4 linked regions of the Rattus norvegicus genome follow. Each later gene encodes a partner of the first gene's protein in a complex. Links are inferred from orthologs where the notes say so. Each region holds a gene or a part of one and is shown in the gene's direction. Other genes may lie near its edges.

Region 1 (4,550 bases):
TGCAGTAACAAGCAGATTTCAACAAAACAGTCCAGGGACCCGTCTGAAGCTTGGAAATAATAAATAATTATTGAATTAATGAATCCAGAAAGAATCCAACTGGGACACACTCACTCTTTACATTGAGAGTCTGCTCCCCGTGATTTCAAAGCAAATGTTCTTATCCAGTAAGCCATCTCCCTCTAAGCCTGCAATAGTTTTTGTTTGTTTTGTTTCATTTTCAAGACATGGTTTCTCTGTGTAGCCCAGGCTGTCCTGTTCCATTTTTTGGTACCGAGGTGTTTTCTGGGATGCAAGATTTTTTTTTTTTTTTTTTTTTTTTTGCTGGTTATAGTGGTAAAACCTGGACTGTTCCAGGCAGGTGACAGTGAGATGACAGTCACCCTATCCTACAGACAAGTTTGTCTGACCTTTCTAACAAGCATCTCAGGGGCAAAGGAGCCAATACCTTCTCTCCGCTCATGCAACGATTTGCAGAGAGGAATACCAATAATAGTTTATACTTGAGCCTTTACAACGTGCCGGGCCTTACAACAGCTAAATAAGACAGTACATTTCTACTTCAGGAGAGAATGTGATGCTAAACCAGGTAACCCGGGATTTCAAAAGATAGGATTGAAGCGAAGCCAACTGTTACCTACTATGCTGAACCTTCCTGATATTTTTTATTTCATCCTCAAAAATTATCTAAGACTCCAAAAACTGTTTGTGTGGATAAAGGTATTGACAGTATTAGAAATTAAAGCCATGAATAAAAAAAAATATGGTTAAATGGTAAGTATCATTAACATCTTCAGTGAAAAAAATAAGTTTCCAAAACCAAACGATGTTATCAAAAAGAGTGGCAAGTCGTTTAATATTCAGTCTAAACAACCTCTCTGAGTACATTCCCTATGTACCACACAGCCTCGGGAGAACTGTACAGCACACTGGTGAGAGAAAATGAAAGTAACGTGTTAATATGATTATGAAATTGTTTTACCTTTAGGGACTTGCCCCCCCCCCCCCCCGTCCCCTCTCCCCAAGTGTTGCGGAGAACCTCGGAGCTTCGATATGTAAGAGGCATGGCTGTACAACATGAAACAATGAATTGTGAACTCAAATTTTTCAAAGCCTTGATGAGAGGTATCAGAAGAAGTTATTTTACTTTGGTACGGATGTCGGTCCTGTTTATACGCTGTATGTAGTAGAATACGGGGGATACCATCCAACTACCAGCAAGACAGGACCGCCGGCGGCGTCTGCTCTCTAAACTCAGGCTCTTACTGGGTAACTGACGCTGACCTGACATTTGACTACAATTCCCGGCAGAGCTCACGGCAGGGGGCGTGTCAGCAGTGGGGTGCCCGGGTGACTCGTACTGATGACGAAATGAAGGGGCGTTCCTGTTTTTGGAGGCAGGTCTGGTCCCTGGTTGGGGGAGAAAACAGAAGAGGCGGGATCTATCATCGGAGTAGCCAATGCGTTGCGGTCAAGTGAAAGGCAGGGAACGAGGCGTGGCCGGATTTATTAGCTGGCTGTGTGGGGCTTACTAACCTAGGGAGTCTCGGGTCTTGGGGTCGGGGTGGAGGGTCGCCGACTGGCACCCCACGGTCGGGCTTGTGAGATGGCAGCGCGCTGGAGCAGCGAGAACGTGGTGGTGGAGTTTCGGGACTCTCAGGTGAGCTGTGCGTAAATGGAGCCGTCTGAGCATGCGCTTTCCGTGGTTTACACCCCCAAGACCCCCCACCCCGCCTTTTCATCCATCCCTTTGCTCAAGGTGGGGAGATGGACATGGTGCTCACCCGGAGCTGTCAGAGCCAGGATAGCCTAGGGAAGCTTTGATTACTAATCAGGACAGTTAGGGCAGGCATGTATGGCCTTTAGGGTTTCACAAGTGCTCATGGTCTTGGAACACCGAAATACCGATAGTAAATGCTGAAGGGATTCTTCCCTTGTACAAGGTAATGAGCTGGGGGAGGTGTCCACTCCCTGAGGTAGTCGACTGCTCTTGGTGACTTCAGGAAAGTTGCAGAACTTCTCTGAACCTCAGTTACTTGAACCAATCTCGCCTACCATTTGTGGGTTGAATTTGCGAAATACTGTTTTGCAGAGCATCTGTTCCAACCTACTAAGTGATTGCTAAAGGAGACAAAATACATGTATTGCTTGGATTGGACACCCCTGTGGCCCATCCCTGACGTCACGCTTTACACATCAGTTTTCTTACCTGTAGAAGGGAGATTATTATACTTACAGGTCTGGCGTGAGGTCACATGATTAAGACGTGTGTCGCACGGCAAGCTTCAAAAATTGTTAACATTGGGGGCCCACAAGGTGACTGGCAAGGTCACTGCTGCCTAGGCTGCCAACCTGAGTTCAATCTCCAGAACCCGCAAGCCAGGAAGAATAGCTCCCATACATCATCCTCTTTCCTCCGTCCACAGGCTGTGGCACATGTACGCACAGTAAATAAATGAACAATAAAAAAATGAAAATGATATCTTTTTTAAAATGTTAGCATTGAGCTCTTGAAGCGTTTCAGTTATTGGCCGATTGGCCTGTCAGCTTTAGTCCCACCCCAGGACCCATGTGGCAGAAGGACAGAGCCAGCTTCCACAAGTTGTTCTTTGACCTCCACACATACTGTATGGAGGTCACACACTCACACACACACACACACACACACACACACACACACACTAAATAAAAAAACTAAAAATTAAAAGAAGTTTGTATTGACTGAATAGTTTAATTATTTTTTCCTTTCTTTAAGTTAAAATAAAACATTATAGTGAGTGATGTGTGTGGGTGCGTAGGGATCAGAGGACAACACTGGGGAGTCTATACTCTTCTACTGTGGGACCTAAGCTTAGGTCAACAGCCATTATCTTGCAACTTTACACTGTGGGTCGTCTTGAAGGTATCCATTTAAAATTTTAGGTGTATGGTTGTTTTGGCTGTTTATATGGAAATCATTTGCATGTCTAGTGACTGCTGAGGCCAGAATCTCCTGGATCTAGAGATACAAACAGTGGTTAGCCTCCATGTGGATGCTGGAAATCTAGCCTGTGTGCTCTGGAAGAGGGCCGTCTCTCCAGCCAGTAATCCCTTCGCACCCCACACTTTCTTTTTTGAGACAGGGTCTCATATGTAGCTCTGGCTCTCTTGGAAGTCATTATGCAGACCAGGCAGGCCTCAGACTCAGAGAGATCCTCCTGCCTCTGTCTTCCGAGACTAGGGGTTAGAGGCATGCACTAGGACTCTTTTTTTTTTTTTTTTCTTTTTTTCCGGAGCTGGGGACTGAACCCAGGGCCTTGTGCTTGCTAGGCAAGCGCTCTACCCCTTGGACTAAATCCCCAACCCCACTAGGACTCTTTTGAGACAGGATTCCATGTACCCAAGGTTAACTTTGAGCCTGGCGTGTAGCTAAGGAGACCTTGAACTTTTGGTCCTCTTGCCTGTTCCTCCTGAGCACTGAGGTCATAGGTGTGCACCACCACACACAGTTTTGAGCAGTGCCTTAGGCTCCATGCATGCTACACTGACTGAGCTGAGCTATATTTTTATCATTTTTCTGTATTGAGTCTTCCATGTGCCAGGCTTCATGCTAGGCAGTGTATCTGTGTTTTCTTTTTCTACTTGATGAAAGAGCCCTGCAGGCTAAGTAGCTATTATTCTTTTCTACCAAAAGAGGAGGCTGATCCCTCATTGGCTGATCTTGAGAGACTTGTCTAGGGCCTACTGTATGTGGCTGGTGGCCACGGGGATTTGTACAGTCTCTGGCCCCAGAGCCCATAATGCTACTTCATCTCTTAATAGCTTATAATGTGTCACACATAGGTTCATAATAAATATCATGTCTTCCTTTCCTGATACCTAGGACATTTCTTCTCAAGTTTTTTCATTTCCTCAACAAATATTTATTGAGTACTTTCTTATATGTTTGGTTGTAATCTAGCCTTTAATGGCTGCGCCATCCCTCCATCCTTAAATACTTTCTCTGGGTCAGACTTTTATTCACCTATTTATTTATTTATTCAATAAGGATTTATTTATTTCAGTTTTTGTGTTTTTATGTGTGTGGTGGCAAGTACATGTGTATGTATGTTTTGCATGTGTATACACATGTGTCTCAGGGTTTCTGTTGCCATGAAGAGACCATGACCATGACAACTCTTACAAAGAAAAATATTTAGTTGAGAAATTCTAATTGACTTGCTGTTCAGAGGTTTAGTCCATTACCATCATGGTGGGAAATGAAGGCAGACGTGGTGCTAGAGAAGGAATGAAGAGTTCTACATTCAGATCAGCTAGCAACAGGAAAAAAATGTGGACCACTAGGCAGGTGGTGAGCCTCTGAGACTTCAAAGCCTGTCCCCACATCTCCTAGTAGTGCCACTCCCTTTATGGGCCAAGCATTGAAACATGAGGGTCTATGGGACTATTCCTATTCAAACCACACAACGTGTGTGGGTGCATGTGCAGGTAGAGGCCCAAGGCTGATGTCAGGAATCGGCCCGGTTGCTTTTCCACCTTGTTCACCTCAGCGAAGCCCAGAGCTTGCCAGT
Region 2 (4,357 bases), on another chromosome or scaffold:
CTCCAAAAACCCTTCACACTCCTTGAGTTTCAGCAGCCAAGATATTTGATATCAGTTTCAACATACAATAAGAAAAAAATTTGATTTAGTTAATGGGGAGGGGAGGTTCCACTCTGGGCCACTTGGCTTCTAAGAGGGAAATGGGACCACATGCATCTGAAGAGCTGTCCTGGAGGTCTTCATCCCCCTTAAACAGCTGTATAAGCACAAAAGCTAAGGACAAGAGGTTGAGGGTTTTCCAGTTGCTCTCCCTTAAAACAGACTCCCAGAGATTAAGAGACTCTGTCTTGCCATCCCTTAAGAAAGCTGGTGCATTTACATGTACTATCATATCATCTGCTAATAGTGAAACGTTGACTTCTTCCTTTCCAGTTTGTATTCCTCTGTTTTGTATCTCATTTACTTATCTTTTTGCTCTAGGTAGAATGTCAAATACTATTTTGAATAGATAGGGAGAGAGTGCGCAGCCTTGTTTTGTCCCTGAATTTAGTGGAATTGCTTTACCCATCAACGTAATTCACCATATAAACAAACTGAAAAAACCCACATGATCATCTGATTAGATAATGAAAAAGCCTGGGGTTGGGGATTTAGCTCAGCGGTAGAGCGCCTACCTAACAAGCACAAGGTCCTGGGTTCGGTCCCCAGCTCTGAAAAAAAAAAAAAAAATTAAAGAAAAAGCCTTTGACAATATCCAATCCCCCTTCATGCTAAAAGTCTTTAAGGGATCCGGGATACAAGGTCCATACCTAAACGTAATAAGGCAATATACAGCAAGCCAATAGCCAACATTAAATTAAATGGAAAGCAAGACCTAACAAAGCACTAGCCCAGTCTACTTGAGAAATTAACCTCAACAACGGTCATGATGAGCCAGTAGGACCCAGAGCCCACAGAAAAGGAGGGTGAAGCTGTAACCGCTCGTCATTTCATGTATACATCTCAGGAACCAGAAAATTTTAGTCTAAATAGAAAACCTGCTAGTTAGAAAGAAAGAGAGAAAGAAAGAAAGAAAGAAAGAAAGAAAGAAGGAAGGAAGGAAGGAAGGAAGGAAGGAAGGAAGGAAGGAAGGAAGGAAAGAAGGAAAGAAGGAAAGAAGGAAAGAAACCAAAAAACCTGCTAGTGACTGCTTCGAATTATAAAATCCCTGGATTAGGGTCACCACACCAACCATAGCCCTGCTGTTGGCCAAGATAAGGGCAGAGCTGCAGGAGGGCGGGGCCAAGGCTCCAGAAGACGCGGAACCTTTGTGTGAGTCGAGTGTGTTGCTAACCGGAAGCTCCTGGTAGACGGCCTGCCGGCTGCGGTCCGGCGCCGGAAGTGAAGCGTTCTGAGCTGCCACGTCCGAGGCTGTGAGTCGCCGCTGCTGTAGCTATGGTAAGTGATGCGGTCCCTGAGATAGTCGTGGTCTTGGAGCAGACCACCGCTACGACCTCAAGGTTTGCGTGTCCTGCCTCTTTAGGTCTCGGAGCGGGAGCTTAAGGCAAGGCCGCTGGGCCTTCCGGAACTCAGGGGCCCGGGCTGCTGAGTTACCTCCTGCCCATCCCGTGTCTTGTCCTCCAGAATTAGAAAAACAGCCAGAGCTATTATAGGATCTCCTGCCCAACTAGCCTTTAGTACGTTCCCACTATCGCACACATCCCCTCCCTGCGCTTAGCCTGCAGAACAGATGCTGCTTTCATCAACACTTGCGCTGGACAGTGGCAAGCTAAGATCCAAATTCTTCTAATCATCTTTCTAATCATCGGTCCTGCCACCTACTACCTCAGCAAAGGTGGTGGAGGGATCAGTTGCTTGGACACAGGACTCCAAAGTGTGATGGTCCCTTCGGGAAACTGATGGCAGGCCTAGTAGGGTGACTCTAGGGCATCGTCTCGGCTTTTTTATTTTTATTTTTGAACTTACATGGTATCAGTGGTATATCTTCACTCCCCCACCGCCACCCCCGAGACACTAAGTGAATGGAACTCTGAAGTCTTAGACCTTGCTTGGCACAGCGGTGCAAGGAGCTGCCTCCTTCTGTTGGCCTTTGGCTCTTCTGTTGCCAAGTTGGAGACTCATACACAAGTTCATTCTAAGTTTGTACCAGGTGTGATCCTGATGAGCTGAATTGTTTTGAGTGCTGCTTCTTACTGTATTGTAGTAAGCAAATAAGTGTCAGATGTTCCAGAGGACTGCTCCAAGGGCTTTAAAACACATAGCATCCCAAAGTGTGGATCATAGCCCATGGCCGCTGGTTGAGAGTGGCTGAAGGATGCCAACTTTCCAAGGTCCTACAGGCCACCAATATAAAATTACTTTTCCTTGAGCCAGTCCAGACTGTGGGGATTCTTGAGCACATCACCCACCTTCTAATATTAGTGTGCATTGGGGAGCAGGGTGTTAGAAGGTTAGTAGCTAGGTCTGTTGCCAGCAGTGTGGGTTTAGTAAGGATTTGTTTCTCTTCACTGGCACATTAACTTGCTTGGTTTTTCTGTTGACTATAATTGATTGCAGCTGGTACCTCTTGACGCTCAGGGGAAAATGTCATTGTCTGCAGGCAGGTGCTATTATTCCTCTTTGCAGACACTTTTTAGAGCATTTAGAATTTTCAAGGAAGCACGTACTTATTCAATGTGTGGCTTCTGAATGCCTTGTTGCCATACACTTCCTGGGTCTACCTTTCTGAAGAGTAGCCCAGGCTATTGTAGAATTCTTGACCCACTCTCTTGATCTTCCAGAGTATTAAGGACCTGCAACACCACACCTGCCTTGAGGAGTCAGGCTTTGTAACTGCCAAGTTTGCACTGGAAAAGATGACTTGTTGAAAATGTGAGAAATGTCGATCTCCAGTGGAAGCTACCTTTTCAGTCTACTTTTCTCTCCCCAAGAATTTAATAGTGGCTGAGCCAAGGGGGGGGAAATGTATATCTTTGCCCATTTATTAATTTAGTAGATAGCTACTGAGTCCCTCTGTCTGTAAAACATTCTGCTAAATAACTTAGATCTAAAGCTGAGGTATGTGATGGTGCCTTCCTTTAATCCCAGCACTCAATAAGATAAAAGCAGATAAATCTCAAGAGTTTGAGGGCAGCCTGGTCTATGTAGTGAGTTCTAGGCTAGCTAGACCTCTGTACTAAGACAGACAGACAGAATGTGTCAAAGCTACAGATAGTTTCAGGGAGCTTACCTTCTCCAGCAGAGAAGTAGCATAAAGTACTATAGCTGTCCATGGCTGTTGTGTATGTAAGAGTCTAGCTAGACAGGCCTTTCACAGTTCATAGTAGGCCAGAGAGTAGCCTCAGAAGCAACTAAAGTCAAATCTTGGTCTTGAATTATAACCTGTTCCACATAAACTGTCTGGGCCATCATCAGAATCACTTGTGATACTATAGCTGTCCATGGCTGTTGTGTATGTAAGAGTCTAGCTAGACAGGCCTTTCACAGTTCATAGTAGGCCAGAGAGTAGCCTCAGAAGCAACTAAAGTCAAATCTTGTTCTTGAATTATAACCTGTTCCACATAAACTGTCTGGGCCATCATCAGAATCACTTGTGATGCAGAAAGGGAATGTGAACTCTGTTCTTGCTTGATTCCACTGACCTCAAGGTCTAAGACTACCTTTGCCCATGGGATCCCTTCCTGCTTGGATTATATCTTCTTTCTGAGCAACAAGGTTCTCATCCCTTTTTTTTTTTTTCCAGAGCTGGGGATCGAACCCAGAGCCTTGCGCTTGCTAGGCAAGCGCTCTACCACTGAGCTAAATCCCCAACCCCAAGGTTCTCATCCCTTAAGGTAGCTGTGTATCCCTTTTATCTTGGACTCCTCCTACCCACGTAAACCACAGTATGGCTGATCTGGCTACTGGCAGGTTGTACACATGAGCTCCTCTGAGGCAAGAACTGCCACTCCACACTGTGCAGTCCTTCACACAGTACTCAGTACAAGAAGGTCTGGAGTAAAAATGCACATATGTAATCCTGGCATTTGGGAGGCTGAGGCAGAAGGATACTGAGTTCAACGCCAGACTGAACTACATAATGAGAGCAAGTCACATGAGAAAGAAAGAGTTTATAGAATGAGCATGCCAGTGAATGAGTGAGTGAATGGATGCCCGTAAGAATTTCAGAAACAATTGGTTCTTTAATGAGATGATTGTTGTGGCTACTATCACTGAATTCACAGAATGTCTTTGGTTCTAGGTGTCAGTAATTAACACTGTGGATACCTCTCATGAGGACATGATTGTAAGTATCCATTCAGCCCTTTTCCCGGGCCTCGTCATGGGCATTCCCCTCAGTGAGCATTTTGACTATATTAGCTCCCAGCAGGCCATAACCTCTGGGGGGTTAATCATTTTCCTACATGACCTCTGAGTT
Region 3 (3,921 bases), on another chromosome or scaffold:
TTGATGTTTTAGTTTATTTTTGCATTTTGAAGAAAACTCAGCAGATACAAATTTTAAACTCAGGTTTTAGTAATGTGATACACAGGAACCGTTTTCAGTATATTCACACTTACCTGCTGCCTCTGAGGGTAGTGAGGATGGAATGCACACAGATGGCTAGCGGTGCTGTAAATAGTGACAGGTGATAGGGAAATGTGGAGGAATGCAGGCTGGAGTTTGCATGGGATGAAGTGAGACTGTGGAAAGGAAATAGTTTTTATTGATGATTATAAACATATAGTTCTGATTCTGTGATACTGTTATATACTACCATAATAGACAAGAACTTGCTGAAAAGAGGACATTTCTCTCATTAGCCACCTATAAACATAGGAAATGTCCTACAGTTTTTTAAGTGATTGTGGGAACTAGGGAGATAGCACTGTCATTAAGGTGCTCACTGTGCAAGTTCAAGGCACCTGAATTGAATCCCCTAGAGCCCGTGAAAAACCTGAGTACAGCATTGTGTACTTGTCCTAGGGCACACATGCCACACAAAACTAAATTGATTGTGGATAGATACTATATTGAAACTTGAAATTGATGTAGACTTCTCAGCACATATTAGAGTTTGGCAAGGGTTTCTGACCTAAAATCATTTCCATCAAGAATAAAATTGTTCTAAATATAGTAATTCTCAGCTATAAAATATGTAGTGAAACAGATTGTATCAGAACAATCACTATGAATTTTTCAGTTAAATAAATACATTGAAAAGCTGACCAATGAAATGAAAGAGGCTGGGAATTTGGAAGGCATCTTGCTGACCGGCCTCACTAAAGATGGAGTGGACCTGATGGAGAGTTATGTGGACAGAACTGGAGATGTCCAAACAGCAAGCTACTGCATGTTACAGGTTAGTGTGGGGTGACACTGGCTTCAAAAAACCCGGCCTCATTCCACATGATCCGTGTTTCCTCACTAAAGGCCATATGCTCCCCCCTACACATGGATTTTGAGTTTGCACTTTGACTGCATCGTTCTGTTGACAGTGTGTTTCATCTTACTGGCCCTAATCACCTCATTAGCTTATCCAGGTTTTTCTTGTAGTCCGAAATACCGGTCTTGGCTGTGTCTGAGTTCATGGAAAGCTCAGGTGGAGGCAGAGAAACTTCTCTCTAAGGGCTCATATCCGAGTCTAACCCAGCTTCCATAAAGGACTCCCTGGCCTGATCTGAACAGTGGTTTTGGTTTCATTTGAATGGAAGAAGAGAAGTTATACTTGAGTTCTTTTACTCCCCAGTGTCCATTTTATTACCAGCAGAGTAATTTGAATAACTAGTTCATCAACATTTTTTTCATTGCTTTACCTGTTCAGTGGTTAAACCAGATTCCAGGAAAAGGTTACTTAATACTTTACTTTTGTGTGAGAACATAAATCCATCCAGTGTGTCACTGCTATGACACATAGTTGGCCTCCAGCTGGTCTTAGCCTTTTTTGTTAGGAGTGCCTCACTCCTTGGTGCCTTAGTCCTTTTGTATGAAAGCCTGCTTTATGTTGATGAACAAACTGAAATGTGTTTACCCCACTCCCTTTCTCTGTGCTTTCCTGTGAACTTACGTAATGCTAGCTCAAAATGCAGTCTGCTTATATAAGGTATCAAGCCACCACTTGTGAGAAAGGGTTTGCCTCCATACAATTTTCTCATTGGGATGAGTTTTTGTCTCTAAAATCAACTGCTGATATATGGCTACAGAGTGCAGATGGGTTGGTAAGAGCACAATTTGTAAAATGTTGTTAAAATGCAGACAGTACGTAAAGTGAGTGACCTTTTAAAAAGTCTAGTATGATAATGGCTTTATTTTAGTTGGGATGCTTTTTTTTTCCTTGTATGTGGCCAAGGTTAACTCCACCATCATGCTGTTTTCATTTTGTTTGTCCTCTTTCCTTTTGTTCCTTTGTTCCCCCACCTTATTTTGTATCAGTTTTTTATTTCATCTTAATTCTTTATTGTCATTTAGCTGTATCCTTTTTACTGGTTTTTGCCAAAGCTGGTGCTTTGTCTCACAGTGTGCATCCTGAACTCCTCAGAATCACATTCCCCTCAGACTGCATTTCAGACCCGGCATGCTGTAATGCCTGTCTTTTTCCTACCACACATCCAGCACTGAATTTTCTCACACTTTGCATTTCACAGGTGTTTTAACAGTGCAATTTCATTGGTGCACCTTTTCTTTGTGCAGAGATCACATATTTTAATCTATATAGAGTCTAAGCCCCAAAGTACATTGTTACTTTTGCTTTAGGCAATGATTTGTCTGTTCTATAAATTAGAAGATTACAGACTTTTTATTTAATTAGTGTTCCTGGTGTCTGTTCTTCCTGTGGATCGGAGCTTAATCTTATTTCATCACCTTGTTTATTCTCTAGCATTTCTTGTAATACAGGTGACTGTCCTGGCTTTTTAACAGAAGCATCTAGTTTATCTTAGTTTTTCCTGCAGCACTTTAAAGAAGTGCTTCATCTTCTTCTGCCTCCTTTGATTCTGTTGAGAAATCAGCTCTCTTCCTTGTTTCCTGTATGTGGTGTTTTACCTTACCATGGATTTCTTTCAAGAAGCCCCCTTTCTCAGAAAAAAATGACACCTTTGTACCCAGTTACAGTTCTTTTGCATCATGTGTACTGGTTGCTGAGCTTCTTGGCTCTCTCAATTAACATTTTTCATCAGGTTTGGGGTGGTTTGTATATTATTTCTGTGTATCGTTCTCTTTTCCATACTTGCTCCTTTTTTCCTTCATTTTATTCTGCATATAGTAAATAAGTTTTACTCAGAGCTTAGGGTTCTGTTCATTTTCTTTCTTCTTTTTATTATTTACTTTCCTCTCTTCAGTTGGACAATTTCTTTTCTTCTCCTTTTGTTTTGCTTTGAGACAGGGTTTCATTGTTAACCCTGGCTGGCCCAGGATTGGCTTTGCAGGCCAGGCTGGGATCACAGACTGTGCCTCTGAGTGCTGAGTGACTTGGAATGCTTCCATGCCAGCTTCAGTTAGACAGTTAATGCTGGTTTGTTTATTTGTTCTCTCTACACTGGCTTTGGCCATTAAACTAGCCAGGGAATTTTTTTCTCCCACGTCCAAAAGTACTTTTAAAATTAGTTATTTAAGTTAACATACAAAGTAATGGACTTCTCTGTGGTAACTGCATAATTTGTTTTAATTTATGCATTGTTCTAAATCATCCCCCTTTGTTGCATTTTTTTCTGATCTGTTCTTTCTAGTATTGAGGCAATTCCTAATTTCAGTTATTTTCCATTTCAAACATAGAATGTCAGCTTTGTTATAGATTACATTTCTCAGGTTAGATTCTTTATTTACTCACTAGTTGAAGGGGTTATTTTCCATGAGTCTGTAATATTTTTCTTTGAGCTTATTTCTTTGAATGTGCTACATCCTGAATTAAAGATTTTGACTGCCGACTCTGACACTAAAACCGTTTTAGAGATATTCTTACTGTCTAGAATTGATGTTCTGATGAGAACTGTAAACTTAAGGAAAACCAATGCTTGCTTCGTACTAGTGCCTATGTGCACTTCACATTTAAAGTACTCAAAAGCAGCATTTCACTACCAGATTTGAAGCCAGGCTCAGTATTGGTTTAAATGTTATTAAGTAGTTTTGATGTACAATTTGGATACATTATAAGCAGAGATTTTGAATCCATAAGTTTTAGTACTTAGAACAAAAGGTTTTCTCATCACGATTAACTACATTATCAATAAAAGTGGGTTAACTACATTATCAATAAAAGTGGATTAACTACATTATCAATAAAAGTGGATCATTTGCTGCTTGCTCCTTAAACTCAAAAGAGATTTTGCTTCCTGGTCAAGTATTTATACAATGTGCATGCTTATATCTCTAGTGAGGCCCAGTTAAAGATGT
Region 4 (3,921 bases), on another chromosome or scaffold:
GAAGTTCTGGGTCATCCTTGGATACATAAGGAATTCTAAGCCCCCTGGGCTACATGAAAACACATGATAAAATAACAACAACAAAGAAACATTGAAGTGTGAGGTTTTGTAAGTGTAATGGGTAGAGTGATTGTTACATCATCTAACAAATTCCTTTCATGGTGAAATACATCAATCTGTTTTCTTTCTTGACAGCATGAGGACGCACAGTAGTAATATATGTCTATACAATGAAGTGCTCCTTAATGAGCTTTAAATTAGATGTATTCCTTGACTTAAATGGAGTTATTTACCAATAAACATAAATTAGGTTGTAAGTTGAAATGTTTCTAGCATATCCATCTTGCCTAGCATCCTGCATCAGTACAGCACACTCCGGATCCTTGGTTGATCCTGACTGATCAAGGGTTAGGGCTTCTTAGGTTTGAACTTAATGCTTTCATCCATAAAATAGTTTCTTGTTTAACTTCACATCAAATAATTTAACCATTTTGTTGTTACTTTTCTGTGTATTGTTTGCTTTTAAGATTTATTTTTATTTAAGAGTTTCCTGTCTATTTAGAAATACAGAGGAGTTGTTGGGGTCATCGCTCCGTTAGTACAATGCTTGCCCTACCATGCACAGAGCTCTGATTTGATTGGCAGTTGTGCAAAAACCAGATGTGGGCTCATGCCTGAAATCTTAGCATCAAGAGCTTGCAGTGTCCTCAGGGGACGGAAGGCATCAGATCCCTGGAAATGGAGCTACAGATTGTTGTGAACCACCATGTGGGTGCTGGGAACTGAACCCAAATCTTATGTGAGAGCAGCCACTACTCTCACCCGCTGAGCCATCTCTCCAGCTTTCTGTGTTAGCTCTTGAATCAAATAATTCTGCAATTGTGAGGACCCAAGTTTGGAACCACATAAAATGTGTGTGGGAGGCAGCTTGTTCTTGTAATCCCAGTGCTAGGGTGGTAAAGCCTAGAGGATCTACAGGAGCTGGCTGGCCAGCAAGTCTAGCCAATCAGTGAGCTCCAAGTTCAGTGAGAGAGATGGAGAAAACACGTGCATGTGTGTGTATGCACATGCACACATTCAAACTAAGGTAAAGATAATTTAAAAAGAATACTAACTCTAGGAGCTGATGAGATAGCTCAGCAGTTAAGAACACTGACTGCTCTTCCAGAGGTCTGGGATTCAGTTCCCAGCAACCACATAATGACTCATGCCACCTACAAAGGGATCTGATACCATCTTCTGGCGTATAGGTGTACATGTGGACAGAGCACTCATACATAAGAAAAGAAAAGAATAAATAAATAAATAAATAAATAAATAAATAAATAATCCTCTCCAAGTCCACTATTCTAAATATCTTCCAAAAGTTCTGTTTTTAGAAATTAACTTTCTATTTAAATGTTACATTGCTGTCTTTCTTGTCTTACTGAAGTAAAACTTACTTGTGTTCTATTATTTTTATTTATTTATTTTTTTCCGGAGCTGAGGACCGAATCCAGGGCCTTGCGCTCCCTAGGCAAGCGCTCTGCCACTGAGCTAAATCCCCAACCCCGTGTTCTATTATTTTTGCAAGTAAAATGATATGTGTGAAGTGAGTAAAATCAGTTTGCTTTTTAAACAGACACATAGTGGATCTGTATGGCGTGTGACATGGGCTCATCCTGAGTTTGGACAAGTTTTGGCTTCCTGTTCTTTTGACCGAACAGCAGCCGTATGGGAAGAAATAGTAGGAGAGTCAAACGATAAACTTCGAGGACAGAGTCACTGGGTAAGATGCGTTCCTGTTCCTTCTTCCATATTCTCCTGTTTGTTTCACTTTGGCTTGGCTTGCTAGGTCTTTCATTGTTCCAGTGGGGAAACCAAAGGATTTCTTTGTACCAGATTCTGTGTATTTTGTATGATTTGTATAGTAATTACTATATGGTTTTAGGCTTCTGGTTTGTAGTTATTTTGCAATGCCTGGGATTGAACCCAGGGCTTCGTGCACTATCACTGAGCTATATAGTCCAAGGTCCCCTTCCCTTCGCCTACTTTAAATTCTACCTCCGCCTTTGTCAGGTGATTTTACCTGTGTGCTGCTTAGATTCCTCAACTCTCTCTTTCTTTTTTTTTTTTCCGGAGCTGGGGACCGAACCCAGGGCCTTGCGCTTACCACTGAGCTAAATCCCCAACCCCAGATTCCTCAACTCTTAAAGAAGAGAATTAAACTAGATTATAAGTCCTTTCCACCACTTTTGTTGAAGTTTATTGTATGAAGTGTTTTATTTTCCTTTCAATTTCTTTTTCTCTTTTTTTTTCTTTTTTTTTCGGAGCTGTCAATTTACTTTTCTTAATAATCACACACAATATAAAATCCAAAGCTGTAAAAGGGTGTGTGCGTGCATCTTATCCTGCCTTCTGGTTCTGCTCTAAGGGTGTTTAGTCTGCGGGCGTTTGTCTTGTCTCTGGTGCAGTCCATTCCTTTACTGAAGCCGCAGAAGGCACAGGCCTTACGTTTACTATTAAAGGAGCCCACTTGGTTTGACTCACTGCTTGCAGCACACTTTGTATGACAGCTATGTGTACAAAAGTGTGAACATTTCTGGTGGTGACGAGTCTGCTCAGTGAGATTACTAACATAATACACGATGCTTTCTAAAGGCAGATTTTCTTCTCTCGTAAACTCATAACTGTTCATTAGTTTGTTATGAGATTGCATACGCAAAGTGCTTCCCTGGAAATAGAGACCAGGAGTGGCTTTAAGTTCCTGATGCAAGGATGAAAACCTAATAAATGGCGAGTTGTCTGTGTGATTCTAAAACATTTGTTCTTCAGATCCATCATATTTCTTTTTGTGTATGGTTTAAATTGTATTTTATATTTTTCCAGGTGAAAAGGACAACTCTAGTGGACAGCAGAACATCTGTTACAGATGTGAAATTTGCTCCCAAGCACATGGGTCTGATGTTAGCAACCTGCTCTGCAGATGGCATCGTGAGAGTCTACGAGGCCCCAGATGTGATGAACCTCAGCCAGTGGTCCCTGCAGCACGAGATCTCGTGTAAGCTGTGCTGCAGCTGCATTTCTTGGAACCCTTCCAGGTAAGCGCACGTCAAACCTTTGAAAGTCTTCCAAAGCAGGCGAGGGGTTTTTCAAGCTAAGAATTTACTGGCTTAATTTTTCAGATGCTTTTTGTAATACATAATATTATCTAGAAGAAAGTTTCCACTTTCCTATATCCATAAAATGGTGGAACCCATTCAGTATCAATAGTTGAGAACTTCTACAAAATTTTCTATGTAAATAAAAATAAATTAGAATATTTTTAAGAGACAGATCTGTGCAGAAATACCAACCCAAGAAGACATACTATACTCAGTCATGTGTAGAACTCATACATTTTCCTCAAGTTTCTTTTTCTCACAAAAAAATACTTGTGAATAAAATATGAAGACATTTTAGTATATAATTTATTTTAAAGCATCCAATTAATCCCTTAAACAATTAACTAATTGGAAGGATTGTCACCTTATTGCCTATGCTGGTCTAGAACTTGCTGTTGAACTTACTGTCCTGCTTCAGCCTCCTGAATGTTGACATAATAGAAAGACAGTCATCATATCCGTCTCTTCATTATTCCTGTTTAACGCTCCATGTTGAGTGCGATTGTATGACTATGCTGTGGTTGCTTTTAAAAGATTTTAAACAAAGCTATTACTTAATTTTATGTGTATGTCGGTGAACACATGTGTCTGGTGTCCTTGGAGGTGTGAAGTGGGTGTTGGATCCTTGTGACTGGAGTTACAGATTGTTGTGAGTCACCGTGTGGGTGCTTGGAATGAAACCTGGGTCCCCTGGAGGAGCAGCACACGTGATCGTAACAGCTGAGACATCTTTCCAGCACCCATATTTGCTTTCTGTTTATCTTTTTAATCACTCCGT

Evidence for each region.
Region 2: the proteins of Wdr59 (region 1) and Sec13 are in contact, whole or in part, in a cryo-EM structure (PDB 7UHY), measured with the Homo sapiens proteins. The link is inferred for Rattus norvegicus from reciprocal best matches to the Homo sapiens genes WDR59 and SEC13. Residues at the interface, in NP_085058.3 of Homo sapiens: Ala525, Tyr526, Gly527, Asp531, Ala532, Asn533, Ile534, Pro535, Phe536, Pro537, Arg538, Thr539, Ser540, Gly541, Ala542, Arg543, Phe544, Cys545, Gly546, Ala547, Tyr549, Val551, Phe553, Thr554, Arg555, Met557, Ala644, Gly645, Lys646, Val647; in NP_899195.1 of Homo sapiens: Val4, Ile5, Asn6, Thr7, Val8, Asp9, Thr10, His12, Asp14, Met15, Ile16, His17, Asp18, Ala19, Gln20, Met21, Asp22, Tyr23, Tyr24, Gly25, Leu28, Val42, Pro59, Trp61, Gln62, His67, Pro68, Tyr79, Ser105, Asn107.
Region 3: the proteins of Wdr59 (region 1) and Mios are in contact, whole or in part, in a cryo-EM structure (PDB 7UHY), measured with the Homo sapiens proteins. The link is inferred for Rattus norvegicus from reciprocal best matches to the Homo sapiens genes WDR59 and MIOS. Residues at the interface, in NP_085058.3 of Homo sapiens: Tyr871, Arg876, Glu877, Arg879, Ala880, Glu881, Leu883, Lys884, Pro889, Pro890, His893, Lys894, Gly895, Ile896, Glu897, Phe898, Gly899, Val900, Tyr901, Arg906, Glu908, Val909, Arg910, Thr912, Phe922, Gln923, Ala925, Ile926, Cys927, His928; in NP_001357005.1 of Homo sapiens: Asp705, Trp710, His711, Arg713, Ala714, Ile718, Ser721, Lys728, Pro729, Leu730, Ala731, Gln732, Val733, Phe734, Val735, Ser736, Cys737, Asn738, Phe739, Ile744, Lys780, Pro781, Leu782, Pro783, Leu787, Cys788, Leu789, Gly793, Pro795, Gln819.
Region 4: the proteins of Wdr59 (region 1) and Seh1l are in contact, whole or in part, in a cryo-EM structure (PDB 7UHY), measured with the Homo sapiens proteins. The link is inferred for Rattus norvegicus from reciprocal best matches to the Homo sapiens genes WDR59 and SEH1L. Residues at the interface, in NP_085058.3 of Homo sapiens: Pro713, Asp714, Glu716, Thr717, Pro718, Arg721, Arg837, Glu840, Gln843, His844, Asn847; in NP_112493.2 of Homo sapiens: Asn308, Tyr309, Met310, Asn312, Lys314.

The regions. Positions count from the first base shown.
Region 1 is NC_086037.1:56,390,003-56,394,552, reverse strand, and holds the start of Wdr59 (GATOR2 complex protein WDR59), read left to right. Parts: upstream 1-1,357; 5' UTR 1,358-1,606; coding exon 1,607-1,660; exon of another isoform or gene 1,661-1,667; intron 1,668-4,550. UniProt on the Homo sapiens protein: As a component of the GATOR2 complex, functions as an activator of the amino acid-sensing branch of the mTORC1 signaling pathway. The GATOR2 complex indirectly activates mTORC1 through the inhibition of the GATOR1 subcomplex.
Region 2 is NC_086022.1:148,443,721-148,448,077, reverse strand, and holds the start of Sec13 (protein SEC13 homolog), read left to right. Parts: upstream 1-1,342; 5' UTR 1,343-1,374; coding exon 1,375-1,377; intron 1,378-4,180; coding exon 4,181-4,225; intron 4,226-4,357. UniProt on the Homo sapiens protein: Functions as a component of the nuclear pore complex (NPC) and the COPII coat. At the endoplasmic reticulum, SEC13 is involved in the biogenesis of COPII-coated vesicles.
Region 3 is NC_086022.1:37,246,991-37,250,911, forward strand, and holds part of Mios (GATOR complex protein MIOS), read left to right. Parts: intron 1-736; coding exon 737-895; intron 896-3,921. UniProt on the Homo sapiens protein: As a component of the GATOR2 complex, functions as an activator of the amino acid-sensing branch of the mTORC1 signaling pathway. The GATOR2 complex indirectly activates mTORC1 through the inhibition of the GATOR1 subcomplex.
Region 4 is NC_086036.1:63,623,146-63,627,066, forward strand, and holds part of Seh1l (nucleoporin SEH1), read left to right. Parts: intron 1-1,621; coding exon 1,622-1,768; intron 1,769-2,868; coding exon 2,869-3,080; intron 3,081-3,921. UniProt on the Homo sapiens protein: Component of the Nup107-160 subcomplex of the nuclear pore complex (NPC). The Nup107-160 subcomplex is required for the assembly of a functional NPC.